2 linked regions of the Nothobranchius furzeri genome follow. The protein of the gene in region 1 purifies or fractionates together with the protein of each later gene. This does not show direct contact. Links are inferred from orthologs where the notes say so. Each region holds a gene or a part of one and is shown on either strand. Other genes may lie near its edges.

Region 1 (8,117 bases):
AAGTGTTTCCATCTCTGTGATTGTTTTCTAGCAAACAGAAACATCAGTGTGTCTTCAGCATCTAGGTCACTGTGGCTCGACGCTCAAGCCCAGATCTGAAAAAGGAAAAAGCAGCAATCACTGCAGAAGTCACTGAAACTTGAAAAGTTATCTCAGAGGTTACAAAAAAGTCTCATACCCGAAGAGTGTGATCCCAGGATCCTGTGCAGAAGGCCGTACCATCGGGAGAGACACGCAGCGTGCTGACACGGTTCTCATGTCCAAACAGAATAGAGACCCGTGTTCCTTTGAGAACATCCCAGACGTTTATAGTGTAGTCGTTGTACCCACCAAACAGTAGCCGTCCTGTTAAAATGAAAATACACACAAATCTTTTCAGCGATCTTTAAAAAGTAATAATTGTAAGCAAAGAAAGAGCCAAGATCCTCAATATTTAAACGTGTGGTTCCCTGAAAATTTTTTTTTTATTATTTCTGATTATAAAATCGGTCACTCCGAGTTTTCATGCAGGCTGAACATGAAAACTGTCTTCACACCTACCTCCTGCATCAGCTTCTGATAGAAAATACAGCGAAATGCTAGGATCTGAAAATCCTCACATATCTATGTCACACTGGATTTGTACTCATGGCCTCGCCCATCTTGGCTCGCGCCCACTCACAGGAGGGCTTTCGTTTGTTTTGTTGTTGTTTTTTTCCAACAAGGAGAGAGAGCGGAGAGTGTCCTGGTGATGGTGACTTTTCAACACGGCTGAACACGTTCTGTGAGCCAGTCAGAACTGAGGTGTGGGCATATCATTAATAATAATGAGCAATCCAGCTGTTTTCAGCCCACCTCTGCACCAGTAAACTTCTGCATCTCAGAACAGAAGCAGCATAGCTTTTTTTAAATTTAAATGACTCATAAGGCATTGATTTATAATAGAGAACACTGCAAATGTATTGAATAAACAAGTACACCACACCTTTAAATAATATTGAGGATCATATATTCAAAAGTAGTATTGAAGGGAAATAATATCATACCACTGAGTGAGAAATCAACACTGGAGACCCCAAATATGATGCTATCTTTGGAATAAATAGCCACTTCTCTATCTGCCCTCAAGTCATAAAGCCGACACTGAAACAAAAACAACCGATTTCAGTTTACTTGAAAATGTCCCTTTGAGGTGTTTAACAGTTTAACTTACTGTGGCATCATCTGATCCAGATGCAAAAGCATCTCCACTTGGGTAGTATCTATTAGAAAAAAATTGGGCTACATTATAAAACAAAGTCAGTCAGAATAGCAATCACGTTTTTTCTGATCAGGACCGTGACTCACCGCACGCTGTTTATGTCTGATTCATGAGTTTCAAAGGACTGAATGCATTGTCCTGAACGCATGTCCCACACGTTAGCCTTCTTATCGCAGCCCTGCAGAAACAGGAAAGATTAATGCGACTCCGGCAATGAAAATCGTCCAACATTTAAATAAGCAGCACAGAGAGCATGCTCACCCCTGAAACAAAAGTGTTTCCTGTCTCAGACGGAGCCAGGTCCAGACACAGTACGTCTGCTGCATGTCCATGGAAACTCTGCAGCAGCTGCCCACTCTCAACATCCCATAATGCACATGTTCCATCACCACTGGATGTCAGGATCTTTAATACAATCAGACAAAGAGAGGAAAGGTATATGCTTACTTAAGATGATGGTGCTACGAGAGTAATGGGGTGCTGATTGTCAAAGTCCATCCATCCATCCATTTTCATCCGCTTATCCGGAGTCGGGTCGCGGGGGCAGTAGCCTAAGTCGAGAGACCCAGACTTCCCTCTCCCCAGCCACTTGGGCCAGCTCCTCCGGGGGAATCCCAAGGCGTTCCCTGAGACTAATAGTCCCTCCACCGTGTCCTGGGTCTACCTTTAGGTCTCCTCCCGGTTGGACGTGCCCGGAAGACCTCACCAGGAAGGCTTCCAGGAGGCATCCTGACCAGATGCCCGAGCCACCTCAACTGGCTCCTCTCAATATGGAGGAGCAGCGGGTCTACTCCAAGCCCCTCCCGAATGACCAAGCTTCTCACCCTATCTCTAAGGGAGAGCCCAGCCACTCGTTCTCTCGGTCACTACCCAAAGCTCATGACCATAGGTGAGGGTAGGAATGTAGATCGACTGGTAAATCGAGAGCTTCGCCTTCTGGCTCAGCTCTCTCTTCACCATGACAGACCGGGACAACGCCCGCATCACTGCAGATGTAGCACAAATCCACCCATCGATCTCACGCTCCAGTTTTCCCTCACTAGTGAACAAGACCCTGAGATACTTAAACTCCTCCACTTGGGGCAGGACCTCATTCCTGACCCAGAGAAGGCATTCTACCCTTTTCCGAATCAAGACCATGGTGATTGTCAAAGACATCAAAGTAAATTCAAGAATTAACCTCTAAACTTTATTACATGAAGCTTTAAAAAACGACATTAAAAATAATAAATATTTAGATTCAAGTTTGTGTGAAGCTATATTTAAATACCACTATAAATGCATACATTTAGCTGACATTCAGATTCTGATGTAGAACTGAAGTAGCCTTCCAAAATAAAAGCTTTTATTTGTTTATTTATAACATTTATTTATTTATGTCATCTTCTTCTGTTTTTAAGCTTTTTCAAAATATTTTGTGTAAACACATCACATTTTAAAATTAGATTTGAATACCATGATGCATATTTAGTTTAAATTCAAAATGAATGTTCAATATTTTTATGTGAATATATGTTTAAATATTTAGACATACTGTGGTGAAAAGGGGGTTTTAACATTTTTACACCCCAGTTTCACTATTTACTAAATATGGCTGTAGCTTTTTAATTTATTACAAGCCAAATGGTGAAATGTCATGTGACCAGGACAATAAAACAGGAGTGAATTATTAACCAAGTCAGGCATGTGCAGCTGCTGCTTTCATCTGTGATTTTTAACTTTGTGCCTCCTCACCTGCATGTCTGAGTTGGTGAAGCTACAAGCAGACAGGTAGTTTGTGTGCATCGCCACTGACTTCTTCTTTGCAGCTAGGTTCTCGTTTTTATCCAGAGACAGAGGATACACAGAGCATTTATTATCCAGGCCCCTATGGCAGAGAAAATGAACATGGTTTATTAAAAATAATCAAAGGATTATATGTCAGGAGGCAACAAGCATACCCACCCACAAGCTACAGCGCAGCCAGATGGAGCGTAGGCACAGGCCATCACCCAGGTGCACGGCATTGTCACAGCATGCTCCTAATAAACATCCAATCAAAAAGCAGCATGAGTGGGACAGCACTGGGGAGAATTAATCAGCTATAATTAAAATAAAACCTTGAGGTTTTGAAATTTGTTCTAAACACATAAAAAAGGTGAAGAGAGAATAATCTGTTAAAATGTTTCCTCTTCCTGCCAAGTAACCCATTCACTAACCTCCCTCTTCAGTAAATGGTATTTCTTGGACAAAGACATTTAGATCTAACTTCTTATTGTTAATGTGCATTGTCTGAAACCTTTATAGCAAGTTTATGGTGCCATGGCATCCCAAAAACATGTGCCTGATCAGTTCTGCTCCTTTGTTTTTACAGATGTAACACGTAATCCCAGTGGCTTTGATGTTTTTAATAAAGGTTTTGCAATAAATGGATTACCTTGTTGGTGGTGAAGGCATCCCATACAATCACTTTTCCGTCCTGCACCAAAAGAGATGGATGAGTGAACAACCAACTGGCTCTAGCTCATGAACAGTCTGATCTCTGTAGCTGAAAGGTGAAATGTGTGACCTGTGAGGAGCTGACGATCCTCCTCTTGTCTTTACACCAGTCCATACACAGGACCTTGTTGCCATGTCCCTTCAGGGTTCTGCGGGTCTTCATGACAAACTGACCCAGAGACTCCACCTTCTCCGCCACCTGATGCACTAATTACAACAAACACAATAGTACTAATACTACTAGTAATAATAATGATTATTATTATTGTTGTTGTCATTTCTGGTAGCTGTAAGGATTGATTTATATGGTCGGATTAAAATAATCCGTCTGATCTGTTGTAAATAGAAATAATCTATTTTTAAAACGCCATTTTCCACGTTTTTTATTATTTTAGTTACAGTTTTTCAAAATTCCTCAGGCATCCTATAAGACAAGAGCTCCTAGGAGGAAAAATCAGGATGGAAACATTCGTTTAACATCGGAAAGCAAACATAGTCTAATCCTCACATCCGGCCAGTCAGATAATTAATCCCAACATCCTGTGGACGCTACAGGGCCTGACTTCAGTCTAAAACACGTCACACAATAACACTAATAAGAGTAAAGTGTTATTTATGCCGTCATGGTGTGAAGAGAGGAGTGATGGAGGCCTCTCCATTTTCAGGACTCACGCTCGACATCGTGCAGCTTGGCTCTCTCCTCCTCCAGTTTCGTCTTCAGCGTCTCCGACTCGGTCTTCAGATGAGCCAGAGTCTCGTTCAGCTGTACCTCCTGAGTCGCCATTTCAGGGATTGGAGGGGATCTCATATATGTTGACTTTGTGCGGGGAGCGACGGACAGCGGCTTACAGCGGAGCTAACAGCTGATGCTGCTGCTGTCATGACGTCACGGGGAGACGATGCTCCTGCTGTGTCAATAGAGGGAGGAGGATCTACTTCCTGGTGATGAGGCTGCATCCTTAGCAGCGCCCAGCCTCACTACTCTACAGATAAATACATTAGCTCACCGCCGCCTGCGTTACAAAGCAATAACGCGGTCTGTCTGCATTCATGAGGAAGTGTGCAGAATAGCATGATCAGTGTGCTGTTAATGATGCAAACCTGCGTGCTTCTGTCCAGAATGCTGACTTTTATGCAGGAACAGGATCAAATTGAACTATCTGGTGGTTAACGTTGACTTTGTAATAATCGATTTTGTTTGATTTTGCAATCTTATAACAGTAATAGACAAACAATTGTAAATCCACCACCAGAGGGCAGTAGACATGAATAGGAATGGCAGGTTTGTTGACGCAGGTATAATGCTGATACTCCATCTGGATGCTTTAAGACTATAAGTGGTTTGATTTGCAACAATTGTTTACAAGGCGTTAATATTTACTAATTTTTTGGGGGGTTCTATACCACTGGGATATAGGACTTTTCAGGACACGCGTCTAAAATGACAGTTCCTTCCATCTGTCTCTCACCAAAGAGAAAGTGGTGAATTGCAAGGATATATTGACCTTAACGGCTGTGTTTAAAATGGTTCATTTTAAACTAAACAGTTTACATTTTGAATATTGATCATTTTGCTTAGTGTGTATTTTTTAAGTTCATCTTCCACTTTAAACCCATCTAAGCATATTCGAAATGCAGGAGGACCTATATAAGCAGTTCAGATGTAACTATGACTGAGATCCATGTTTTGTTGCTTCCCAGTGTGTTTATTATCTGCTTGAAAAACAGCACCTCCTAATAAAACACCAAAAGTGACGGGAGAAGTCGTTCACTGCATAGACATCATATTGATCACAGATATCAGTGTCTGTGGTTTGCTTCACTGGTGGCTGTTTACATGGAGCTTTACCAGATGTTGCCAGATATGGAACAAGAATTCTACAATTTTGGTGCTGAAGGTCCACAACCGTACAATTTTGAGTCAACTGTGACACCTAATGCTGGTAGTCAAGAGCGATTATTTCATTTCAGCAACCCGCTTAAAGTCTCCGCTGTCAGGCTCCCTGCTAGCCAGCTGGACTTGAGAATGAGTTATTTTTATGATAAAGAACATTGGTAAAAACAAGGTTTTTAATCACTTTATAGAAATAATTTTGCCGTACATAAACAAAATGTAGCATTGGGTTGCTATAACACACCTGTTTGAGGTGTTAAAGATTAATCATGATGATAAAGCAACAATTTTACTGTCCAACTGACTGAAATCTAATGAAATCAATAAAATTTATAAAGCATTGATATAAACTGTTATAATACACACACACACACACATGTAATTAAGACCTAAAAATGGCGTGACAAAACTGCAAGTTTATTTACTTAAAAGCTAAAACGAAACATCTTTTGAATCTAGATCACTGAGAAGAAAATTACTTCAGTATTTCTAAATCCTTCTTACATTTATATTAAAAATTCTTTAAACAAAGGCCACTGGAGAATCAGCAAGTCATGAAGAGTGAAAGGTCAAAGGTCAGATCTTGGTCAGGAAGTCCAGCTGAAGGCTGCTCGGGACCTGCAGCAACTCGAGAGCCATGGAGGAGGAACAGAAAGGAAACGTGACCTGGAAACGATGATCTGTGTCCAGCATCAGCTGTGAAGACCCTTCATGGTCCTGCAGTAACGACTGCAACAAAGCACACAACTTTAGTTTTAATAAAAAGTAAATACTTCATAAAAATCCAGCACATTGAAGCTTGCCTGAACTCTGCGGACAAATGATGATGTTACTCTTTTCTCAAAATCATCTATGGGCGTGTAGGAATTCAGAATCTTGACAATCTGCAAAATACATTTGAGTTTTGCCTCCAGAGTTTAAGAAAAGTTATAAAAAGCAGTTAGATAATAAATGTTGGCGCACGAGGTACCTGAACAGGGCTGAGCTCGGTGCAATTGTCAGCGATCTCTTTAGCGTCCTCATCAGTGGACTTGTTGACTTGCAGCAGCCAGGCAGCCTGAGCCAGCGGCCTCAACGTATCGATGGCATTAGAGCTCTGTAGCTCCTTCTCCTTCAGCCACTCCTCTAGATAACTAATGTTACATCTAAAAGAACACGGCTACGTTAAAACCAAAGCTTCCTTTTTTTCCTTCAGATTTCAAAAAGTTGAACCTCACTGACCTGATCTGCATCCCTTTCCTGCAGGAGCACATGTCTTTGCGGAGCATGATTTGGTTAAAGGTGGTGGCGCTCACCAGGAAGAACAGCTGTTTGATGGACTGTTTGATGAGGCACCTCTCCATGCCGTGGTGGCTCATAGCGGCGTGGAAGTTGGAGAGCTGCTGCAGGATGGAGGAGATGGTGTAGCTCTCAGCCTCGTTGTAAACGCTGTTGGAGCGTTTTCTGAAACCCGTCGGTTTCATGCTGGAAATTCCCTGTAGACTCTCGTGCTCCAGCATTCCAGGAACTATTAAGAACACAAAAGCACGAGTTAGTTTAACTAAAAGAAAATTTTTCTGTATGTGGTGATGCTTTTATTCCTTTCTTCAAACACCAATAGCGGGAGCGAGAGTCTTCTGCATGACCCTGATGAGCTGGTGGTAGATGTGTATGGCCAGGTCGCTGAGAATCTGTCTGTGTTCGGACAAATCAAAGTTCTGCAAACAGTTCTTTTTCTGCCGAGGGGTGCTCTGTTTCTGGAACTCCTGAAAAGCAGGACGGTTCGATTCTGTGTGAGAATACGCAGAGGTTCAAAGTGTCTACAGGTGAGTAAACTCATACCTCCTCTCCACTGTACTGTTTCAGACAGTTGAGCAGCTGGTATGTGTTTGAGAGCCAGAAGGACAACAACTCCATGTTTCTGTGGTGAGACTAAAACAGAAATAAATACCTCGGATCAAACGTCTCAGACAAATCAAACTGGATCTTCCTCAGTTTGAAACATCTTTCATCAGCATTTTTCTACAGCTAGCATAACACAATATTATTTTGTTTTACTCAAGTGGGTCAAACCAGATCTGTTAGTAAGCATGCACATAGGACCAGCATGCCTGTTTTTGTTTACTGCCCAAGCAGGGGAGGCAGCGATGAGTAATGGAGTTAATTACTGGCATTGAATAAATAATCCACCAGCATCTATTTTAGTATCTATACAAAAGACTTTTACTACGTCCCGTGGTGCACCTGTGGCTAGTTTACTTTAAATATTCATAATTTAAATGATTTCTAAATCATTCATTTCTGTTTAATTGCACACATTCTTCATACATGCCATACAGGTCCAGGGGTCTTGGACAGAGGATGGAGGGTTTTCCTCACCATGACGACCTTTTTGATGGCAGTAATGATCGCGTTCATCAGAGACTTGAGTTTGGTGTCGTCGTTCAGGTAATCTGCATGCCGCACGCACATGAACAGGATGTGAGCGGGCAGGGTGGGGATCATACTCACCACCACCCCTTTGGG
Region 2 (8,386 bases), on another chromosome or scaffold:
AAATTAGTTTTCTCTGCAGGGTGGCTGGGCTCTCCCTTAGAGATAGGGTAAGAAGCTCAGCCATCCGGCAGGGGCTCGGAGTAGATACGCTGCTCCTTCACCTCGAGAGGAGCCAGTTGAGGTGGCTCGTGCATCTAGTTAGGATGTCACATGGATGCCTCCCTGGAGAGGTTTTCCGGGCACATCCAACTGGAAGAAGACCTAAAGGAAGACACAGGATACGATGGTGAGACTATGTCTCTCGGCTGGCCAGGATTCTCTGGAGGAGTTGGCCCAAGTGGCTGGGGAGAGGGAATCTGGGCCTCCCTGTTGCCCTCACGACCTGACCCCTGATAAGTGGCCAAAAATGGATGGATGGATGGATGGATGGATGGATGGATTCAACCACTGGTTCAGGTTTTGGAGCAGAGAAACAACTAAAACATGCTTGCCTGTAAGAGTTTGAATTCCTTTCCATTCATCAGCTGACTAAAAACACAAAGTTGGCTTAAAGATCTCAAAAAGCAACACCACGCACGATCCGATGGAGATTGCAGACCACATTTTAACCTCCGCAGGCTTCACTTGGTTCAGGTTGAGCCGAGAGAGGAAACACTTTTCCACAGCTTTGTGTAGATGAAGAATGACGGGATCATAAGAGCAGCAGTAACAGAAAGGTGGAGAACCACTGAGGTTCTGGACCCGAGGGCACTCCCAAAGAGCACGCTGGTGACAGGAACCACGGCTCATTAACTCACCATCCTCCACCTCTGCTGCTACTGTACGTCTCCCAGTGAATGATGTCTGCATGAATGGAGACGAGGAAAATGTGACTCGCTCAAAACGTGACGCTCAGCCAGCGAGGAGATGAATGAGGTCAGCTGGGTTTACCTGCAGGCGAGCAACACAACATCCGTGAAAGCAGATTTACAGTGAGCGTGCACACACACACACACACACACACACACTGAGAAGCTCTCCCAAATAGTCAATAATTGTGAGCAAAGGTGGACAAAGATAATTTAACTTACAACCAAATCATAAATGTTTCTCCTTAGGGAATAAAATGTTTGCAAAATTTTACAGAATGAAGAAAAAATTCTACTCCTGCAGCTGAAAAGAAAATCAACTCGTGGTGGTGGGGGGGGGGGGGGGGGACTTAATAATAAGTATACAAAAATCTGTCTAAATGACAGGTTAGAGGCTTTTTAATGCAATGTCAGGAATACAGTCGCACATTAGCAAGTACCAGCAGAGCCATTAGAGTAGTTCATGGACGGTTCTAATGGGAAACAGGCTTTAGCACAAGCTGCTTTCTGCTTGGTCCTAGCGCTCAACCAGTGTCTACTTAATATAGTGTAATGTTGTTTTGGACGGTAAAAGCTGCAGGGGTCAAAAACTTACTTTGGAAATAGTGTGTGTGTGTGTGTGTGTGTGTGTGTGTGTGTGGCGCTTGGGGGGGGGGGGTCATGCCCCCCCCCAAAAAAAAGCTACATCCATGGTTTCACTCAGTGGAAACGAGGAGGCGGTAAACTGGAGCCACAGTTCAACCCTGTGAGTGATGAGTGAAAACAAAGGAGCAAACATTTTGGGTGGAAGCCCCGTCAAAATCAGCTGATGATGCGGCTGGATGAAACTCAAAAAATGAGAATAGGGTGCAGAAGTCCATTCATGTCGGAAATCCAACTTAGACTGAGAGACCATCTAAAGCAGGGGTGCCCAATCCTGGTCCTCGAGGGCCGGCATCCAGTTTGTTTTGGTTTTAATTCGGCTTCAACACACCTGATTTCAATCAGCAGGTGATTAACAGGCTTCTGCAGAGCCTGATGAGATGCTGCACAGGTGATTCAACCAGTTAATCAAGTGTGTTGGAGCAGAAAAACCACAAAACCTGCTGGATACCAGCCCTCCAGGACCAGGATTGGGCAGGGCACCCCTGACCTAAAGGCTTCAGGAACCCTTTGCAGGTGTTGTGGATTCATTAGCTGATTAGAGTCTAGAATATTGAACATATTCACAACATTATAATTGTCTGACATTCTGATTTTGAGGTTTATCTGACATTGCTTGGAATGAGTCTAGTCTCACTTTTTAAGTAGAGTTAGTGACGTAAATGAACTTGTGCACCATATTCAGATTTTTCAAGTTTCATCTGTAAGTGAACATCCATAATAGTTAGGTTGTTGATATTTTTATTAAAATCCACTCAGTGACTCATTTAATTTGCATTAAAGACACAGAAAAGGCTCAAGTTTCATGTAATTAAAAATACCACACAGTCAAAAATAAGGGTACAATTTGAACTGATGTACCCTCTAAGGCTTGACTAACTATGAATCATGTAATGTTCCCCAGCAGGAAGAAGATGAAAATAATTTCTCTTTTACCAGTTCTTTCTAAACCCAGAACAGAAAGGTTCTTAAGCTCCTGGGTGCACAGCCAGCCCACGGCACTTGATTCTGTTGATCCGAGCGCATCCTGCAAACCCCAGATACAAACAAGCTGCATGTTTGTGCGTCTTGCTCCAGTTTCTGTCTGTTTTGATCTCTGATGGCTACGGCCACAACGTGCAGATTCAAAGCTTCCTCTCTTGCATGGCACAAGTGCAACACAGGATGTCGTGTTGAGGTTCTCAACCCACGTTTTTTTTTAAGTTATGAATTCAAAACAGAAAAAGGAAAAGCAAAAATGACCAGCTGGTAGGAGTTTGTTCACTGTGGCTGCTCAGATTGACAGTTGGAGCCCTTCCTGTGGACCTCCGAGGGAACGAACGTGTCGTTATAGCAGAAAAGAGAAGAAACAAAGAGGGAGGAGGAGGAGTGTAGTGTCTTGGCTGAAGGGTGGAGACTCAGCAGCAGTGAGGAGGGAGGCAGTGAGTAGATAGAGAAAGGCACACAGACAGAGGAGTGTGTGTGGATGTGATCTGCTCTGCCTCGTTGACTGAGTGTATGTGTGTGACGGAGGGAGATCAGGAAAAGGGGCGAGCGCATGGATCCCACAGCACTGGATGTGTGTGGCTTCACAAACAAAGGATCCTCATAAAGGTAGGCTCTTTTAAATCTCTTTTCTCTGGCAGCAGACTGAGTTTGTGTAGTGTTTTGGTGGGATCCGGGTTAATCACATCCAAAACAGGGTGTGTTCAAGTGGATGAGGGTTTTTTTCATGCTCGAGGGGTGAGGACTGATGCTGCTGGCTGCTTTACATCATGGAATCCCCTCCTCCCTCAAACATCACCAGAAACCTCCCAGCTTTAGGTGATCTGGGCTCAAATCCACTGATCCCTTCTTTTCTTTACAATCTAGAATGGAGTCCCTTCCTTCCTTTTTTCTTTTTCCTCCCTGTTTCTCCTCAAATCTAACAGCGTAGAGCCGGAGGAATTAGGAGCATCTGTTTCAGGAGATGTTAGCAAATTCAGAGGGGATGAAACAGATATATGAAAAGAAAATATTGATTTTTGTCCGTTTTTGGTTCTGTGAGGAGAAAACAGTCGGCCACGAGCAAGCTTCGTGTAGTGGTTGTGTCAGGCAGATGGCTAGGAGAGGAGGAGGAGGAGGAGGAGGAGGAAGATAAGGAGGTGGCTTGTGTTTTCATGGTACACAGATACTGTATGACAACAGCATTCAATCACCAGAAACAAGCAAACAAATACAGATCTGCTGTTTGTCCCACTCTCTGCTCATCACTTGAAGACATCGTCAAGCACAGCTCACAATCAGGCATTCAGTCCTGTGTGTGTGTGTGTGTGTGTGTGTGTGTGTGTGTGTGTGTGTGTGTGTGTGTGTGTGTGTGTGTGTGTGTGTGTGGCTGAGGTACATATCCTGATTACAAACGCACGCTGAAAGTCAGAATTACGCAAGAGCTCCCATCCAGCTGGGTGGAACTGTTCCAAGGCCTCCACAAGTCGCCGTTTTGAATTGTGTTTCTGTGTCAAAGTCATAAATACTATCTTAGTGTCCAGAACAGCCTCTGCTTGGTGAAAACTGTTCACATCCTGCAGGACGGATGCACCAAAAGATGTAATGTCAACAACCTGAAGGCCATATGTCAAAAATATTGATTATAGATGATGAAAGAGCTGCGGAGAAGAGGTGTGCTGCAGATAAATTACACATTTAATGCTAAACGTTCAAATGACTTGATGTTGGCTTTTGATTAACTCCTTGATGTGATTAGAGAGGAATTGAGCTGACGTTAGCCTCATTTCTGCTAACTTTTCCAAACGGAAACTCGTCAGCTGAAGAAAGAATATTTTACGTTAAAAGCTGTCTGCAGAACGAGATGCTTCATTTTCTAACGCATTAAAGCAACACCTGTATAGGTGATCCAAAGTGTGGCCCAAGGGCCGTTTGTGGCCCTCGGCTGCAAATTAAGAACGGTCTTATGTAGTCCCCAAACCAGCTGGTTGGTGCAGACATGTTTTGTTCCATATTTGATCAAAGACAAAAACACAAGAAACAAATTGTCTTTGTTTTCTTTTCTTGTTGCTGCACTCGAGTATTATGGCTATTGTTTGGAAATGTTCGGACACTCCTGCTTTACATACGAAGATATAATAAGGGCATCTATCTCCAGCCCTAAGAACAAACAGAGGACTATGTTTCATTATCGATGATCTGATTTAAAATGAAAGGAAAAAAGAAATAACACTTTCAGAAAATTTATTTATTATTTAAATCTGGACATATCTGGATCTAGCTATCTATCGATGAGACTTGAATTTTTCCAACTAGGCTCATTTTAAGATGGCAGCAATCAACTTTCAACTAGCCTTTAGCTCATCAGTCAGATCAGAGCTAAAGGCGTGCTTGTAACTTCCCAATAGAGACAGATTTTTAAAACATCTGAAATGTTTCTTTAAATCCGACTGAGGTGCCAGTCTGATGATTAGCTCACATTCAGACTGTAAATCTGAATCTGTGCTCAAACAGTAAGCTTACTAAATAATCCCCATGGCCACCAGTCCCTCTGAAGTAACACGGTCTAGAAATGAACTGTAGCTCATTCACACATGTTGCAGTAGTGTGCATGCTGACCCAGAAAACGTGGAATAACCAGCAATCTTAACCGTTTAACATAGTGCATGCAAACACACACACACACACACACAGTCAGAGGCAGTTGTGGTCTGAAACTGTCCAAGCAGCTCTCCGGCTCTCGCTGCAACATTTAAACAACCCTGGATGTTTGTAGAAGCTCCACAGCCCTAGGGAACGGCCCAGTTGTTAGCTGCTGATTGATTCCAGGGGAACATTCACGTCTAGGTCTCCGAGGAGACTTAATAACCACAAAAGATGCTAAAAATAGCATCTGTGACACAAAGGACAGGAAATCCAACTTTAAACCTGCATTTACAGATAAAAAATAACGTGGATACTTTCAGAGGTGACTGAAACAGCCAAATAACACCAGCTGGTGGGTGGTAATCATTTCTCCACCATGGATGTAGCTTTGGGGGACGGGGGGACATGCCCCCCCCCCCCCCCCCCCCCCCCACACACACACACACACACACTTTTTTCCCAAGTAAATTTTTGTCCCCTGCACTTTTCACCGTCCAATAACAACGTTACGTTATATTAAATAGACTCTGGGTGAGCACTAGGACCAAGCAGAGAACAACCGCTTGTGTTGAAGCCTGTTTCTCATCAGAAGCGTCCATAAGCTCATCTTTTGACGTGCGACTGGTCATTCCTGCTGTCACCCCACGCTGTAAACAGGACATGCTCACTTTTCTACATGCAGTTCTGCATTCCTGACATTGCGTAAAAGAGCCTCTAGGCTGTAGCTTTATGCATATTTTTGTATGTATAAAATGCACCACGGTCACACAAAAGCCGTGTTTTTCCTTTTATCTGCTGCTGTGGTGTGACCTGTGTTGTTTCTACCCCACTAACCACGCTGCTGTTACGCAACATCGGTATCAAAGGCTTTAAACGCTGCAAACTCTTAAGAATAAGGCCTAAACCCCACACTGCTGCTGTAATCCAACAAGAAAGCAACACACCAGGCTCCGTTTGTTTGATTTAATAAACATAACGGGCCACATTTGTGCTCCCTGGAGCATTAATCCTCCACCCTGCTGCCTCCATGACTCCTGAGGGGATGCATCATTTCCTGGGCCACTGCATCCCCCCGCGCCTCTCTGGGGCTAAGATTAACCTACAGCACACACGTGTATAAATGCACATGCATGAATGCACCACAGTCTGCAAGATGGCAGGGCTTGCTGGGGGTGACACAGATGTCCGAGATAATCAAAGGTTCGAGGGAGGTGGTGGTCTAACGGCGCAAGGCAGAAACCAGACTGACTTCATAGTAAAGACTTTCTTCTACATTATATCACAAAAAATAAAATGAAATTAATCTCACAGGAACTTTAATTTGAGATGTTTTTTGGGGGGAAATACAAAAACGTTGTTCCATTGTGCATAAAAATGAATAATGAACACATAAAATGTCAAAATTGTAACTTTTGACCTTGCAATTACATCTTTTTCGCTCCTGTTCAATTAGCTTGATTTATTTTTTTCATATTTAATTCTGTTGTAATTAAAAGCTCCTATCTGGTTGTGAAAGTCAGAATCATAAAAGTTCATTAGAATCTTTTAAATATAAACTTGCAGCTCATAATGAACAACAGCTATTTTTGATAAGTATTTATGATTTGTGTTATCTCAGAATGCTGAGTTTCACTTTTTAAAGGATGACCTTTTACTCACAATCAATGACCAATCTTACAAATCTGGATTTTTGTTGCATATTTAAACCTTTGAATATCATGATTTTGACTTTTATTGTGTTGTGATGATTTTTACAGTGCTAATTATGACTTTTATGCTCACATTTTTGAAAATAATAACTTTCTATCAAATAAATGTAAAAGTCAGATTTGTATAACTTAGCTTTATCACCCGATCTGCCAAAACTGCAGTCATCCTGCTTGTCCTCATAAATTCTGCCATTGCAACTAAAATATTTAAATAAAACATATTACAAGTTTAATTTACACATCTAAGTTTGTTTACTTAGTGGACTCTTGTGTGTCAGGAAGTGAAACATCCTTTTAAAGATGTCTGATCCACGATTCGCTCAGCCTCCAGGTCGCCCACTTCCTGGGTTCATGAGTCTAGTTCTGCATGTTCAAACTAAGACGTTTGTACTGAAAGGTTCTTTATATTATCCAAAATGTCAACATGTCCCATAGGTTATTTGATGGAAAATGATGATCCAAAATGGCTGACTTCCTGTTGGGTAAAGACCATCTTTTAGAGTTTGGTAGGTACCCTGTTCCTGAAACAGTTAAATTACGCTGATTCTTTGATTAAAGTTGAATGATTTTACTACATTTTCTGTGCTTTTGTGCATTTTTAGACTTCTGTGTTGTTTTCCAGTAGCAGCTGGCTAACTTAGCCATGTTTGCCTTGGTGTGTGGGAGCATATAAATGATGTTCTGGTTGTAACTCACAGAACCAGCGAGGGTCAGCTGGTTAAGCTCAGTATCCAGGCTAAATGGCATGGATACCAGTAGATAAAACAGTTTCACTAAATCAGTTTTTTATGAATGAAATCTCACCAGCTGGACGAGATTTATTCTGGTGAGTTTTCAGAAAAAGACGCATCAAATAACTGTTAGTGGAGTTTTAGGCTCAGTCAAGCCAGACTAAAGAAAGAAAGCCCAGATTTGATGAACAGGCTTTGTAACAAACACTTTTCTGATTCTCTCTGACACACTCAACAGTTCAGCATTCTGTAATCAGCTCTCCCGGTACTTTAGGCCTCAATTACTCTGTAAAATTGTTACTAGGTCACGTTTCCTTCTTTGTACCCTTTGGATTGTAACTCATAAATGTACAGATGCTTAATTAGAGACCAGGTTTCATGTCCAGGTCTGAATAAAACTTGTGTAGATGCTCACCTCCACACATCACAGCCCGACCTCTCTCTCTCTCTCTCTCTCTCTCTCTCTCGGCATAGGGAAGGTCGGACTTTCCTCGTGTTCAAGGGCGGGAGCCCGTGCTGTATTACATCCAATAGTCAATGTCGTCTTGATTTAGCTCAATAATAACTCTGGAGGTCAGTTTCATGTTACTTCTCCTGGCTGAAACCACTGGGAAAGCCACCTTGGAACATCTCCTTCAGTTTATAGTTGCTCATCGGCATCCAGATCTGTTGAATCTGCCTTTAGACCAGAGTACCACTCGCTGCCTCTACAGTTTCCCACTGACATTGCAGAGTTGTCCCATGACAGGATGGTTCAGTCACTCGGTCACACGGTCACCGAGAGCATTCGGATGACTCTGCTTCTGAGTGATTTGCATGCATCACTGCTGTTATTTGTGGCTTTGAGACGAAAAGTCGCCTCCTGCCTTTTTTGCCATCTTGCCGTCCCTTCAGACCTTTGCAGGTT

Evidence for each region.
Region 2: the proteins of gnb5a (region 1) and gng2 purify together in Homo sapiens (affinity purification with western blotting; 4 studies listed by BioGRID and IntAct, with this or other methods). This does not show direct contact. The link is inferred for Nothobranchius furzeri from reciprocal best matches to the Homo sapiens genes GNB5 and GNG2.

Annotation. Positions count from the first base shown.
Region 1 is NC_091744.1:64,502,193-64,510,309, reverse strand, and holds the start of gnb5a (guanine nucleotide-binding protein subunit beta-5a), read right to left. Parts: upstream 4,763-8,117; 5' UTR 4,527-4,762; coding exon 4,391-4,526; intron 3,926-4,390; coding exon 3,789-3,925; intron 3,699-3,788; coding exon 3,657-3,698; intron 3,262-3,656; coding exon 3,185-3,261; intron 3,108-3,184; coding exon 2,975-3,107; intron 1,646-2,974; coding exon 1,502-1,645; intron 1,419-1,501; coding exon 1,327-1,418; intron 1,242-1,326; coding exon 1,193-1,241; intron 1,123-1,192; coding exon 1,026-1,122; intron 346-1,025; coding exon 179-345; intron 96-178; coding exon 84-95; 3' UTR 1-83. Other genes in the region: myo5c (unconventional myosin-Vc), read right to left, coding at 6,189-6,341, 6,416-6,496, 6,583-6,757, 6,834-7,119, 7,207-7,357, 7,434-7,523, 7,971-8,117. UniProt on the Homo sapiens protein: Enhances GTPase-activating protein (GAP) activity of regulator of G protein signaling (RGS) proteins, such as RGS7 and RGS9, hence involved in the termination of the signaling initiated by the G protein coupled receptors (GPCRs) by accelerating the GTP hydrolysis on the G-alpha subunits, thereby promoting their inactivation.
Region 2 is NC_091758.1:20,027,975-20,036,360, forward strand, and holds the start of gng2 (guanine nucleotide-binding protein G(I)/G(S)/G(O) subunit gamma-2), read left to right. Parts: upstream 1-2,837; 5' UTR 2,838-3,023; intron 3,024-8,386. UniProt on the Homo sapiens protein: Guanine nucleotide-binding proteins (G proteins) are involved as a modulator or transducer in various transmembrane signaling systems.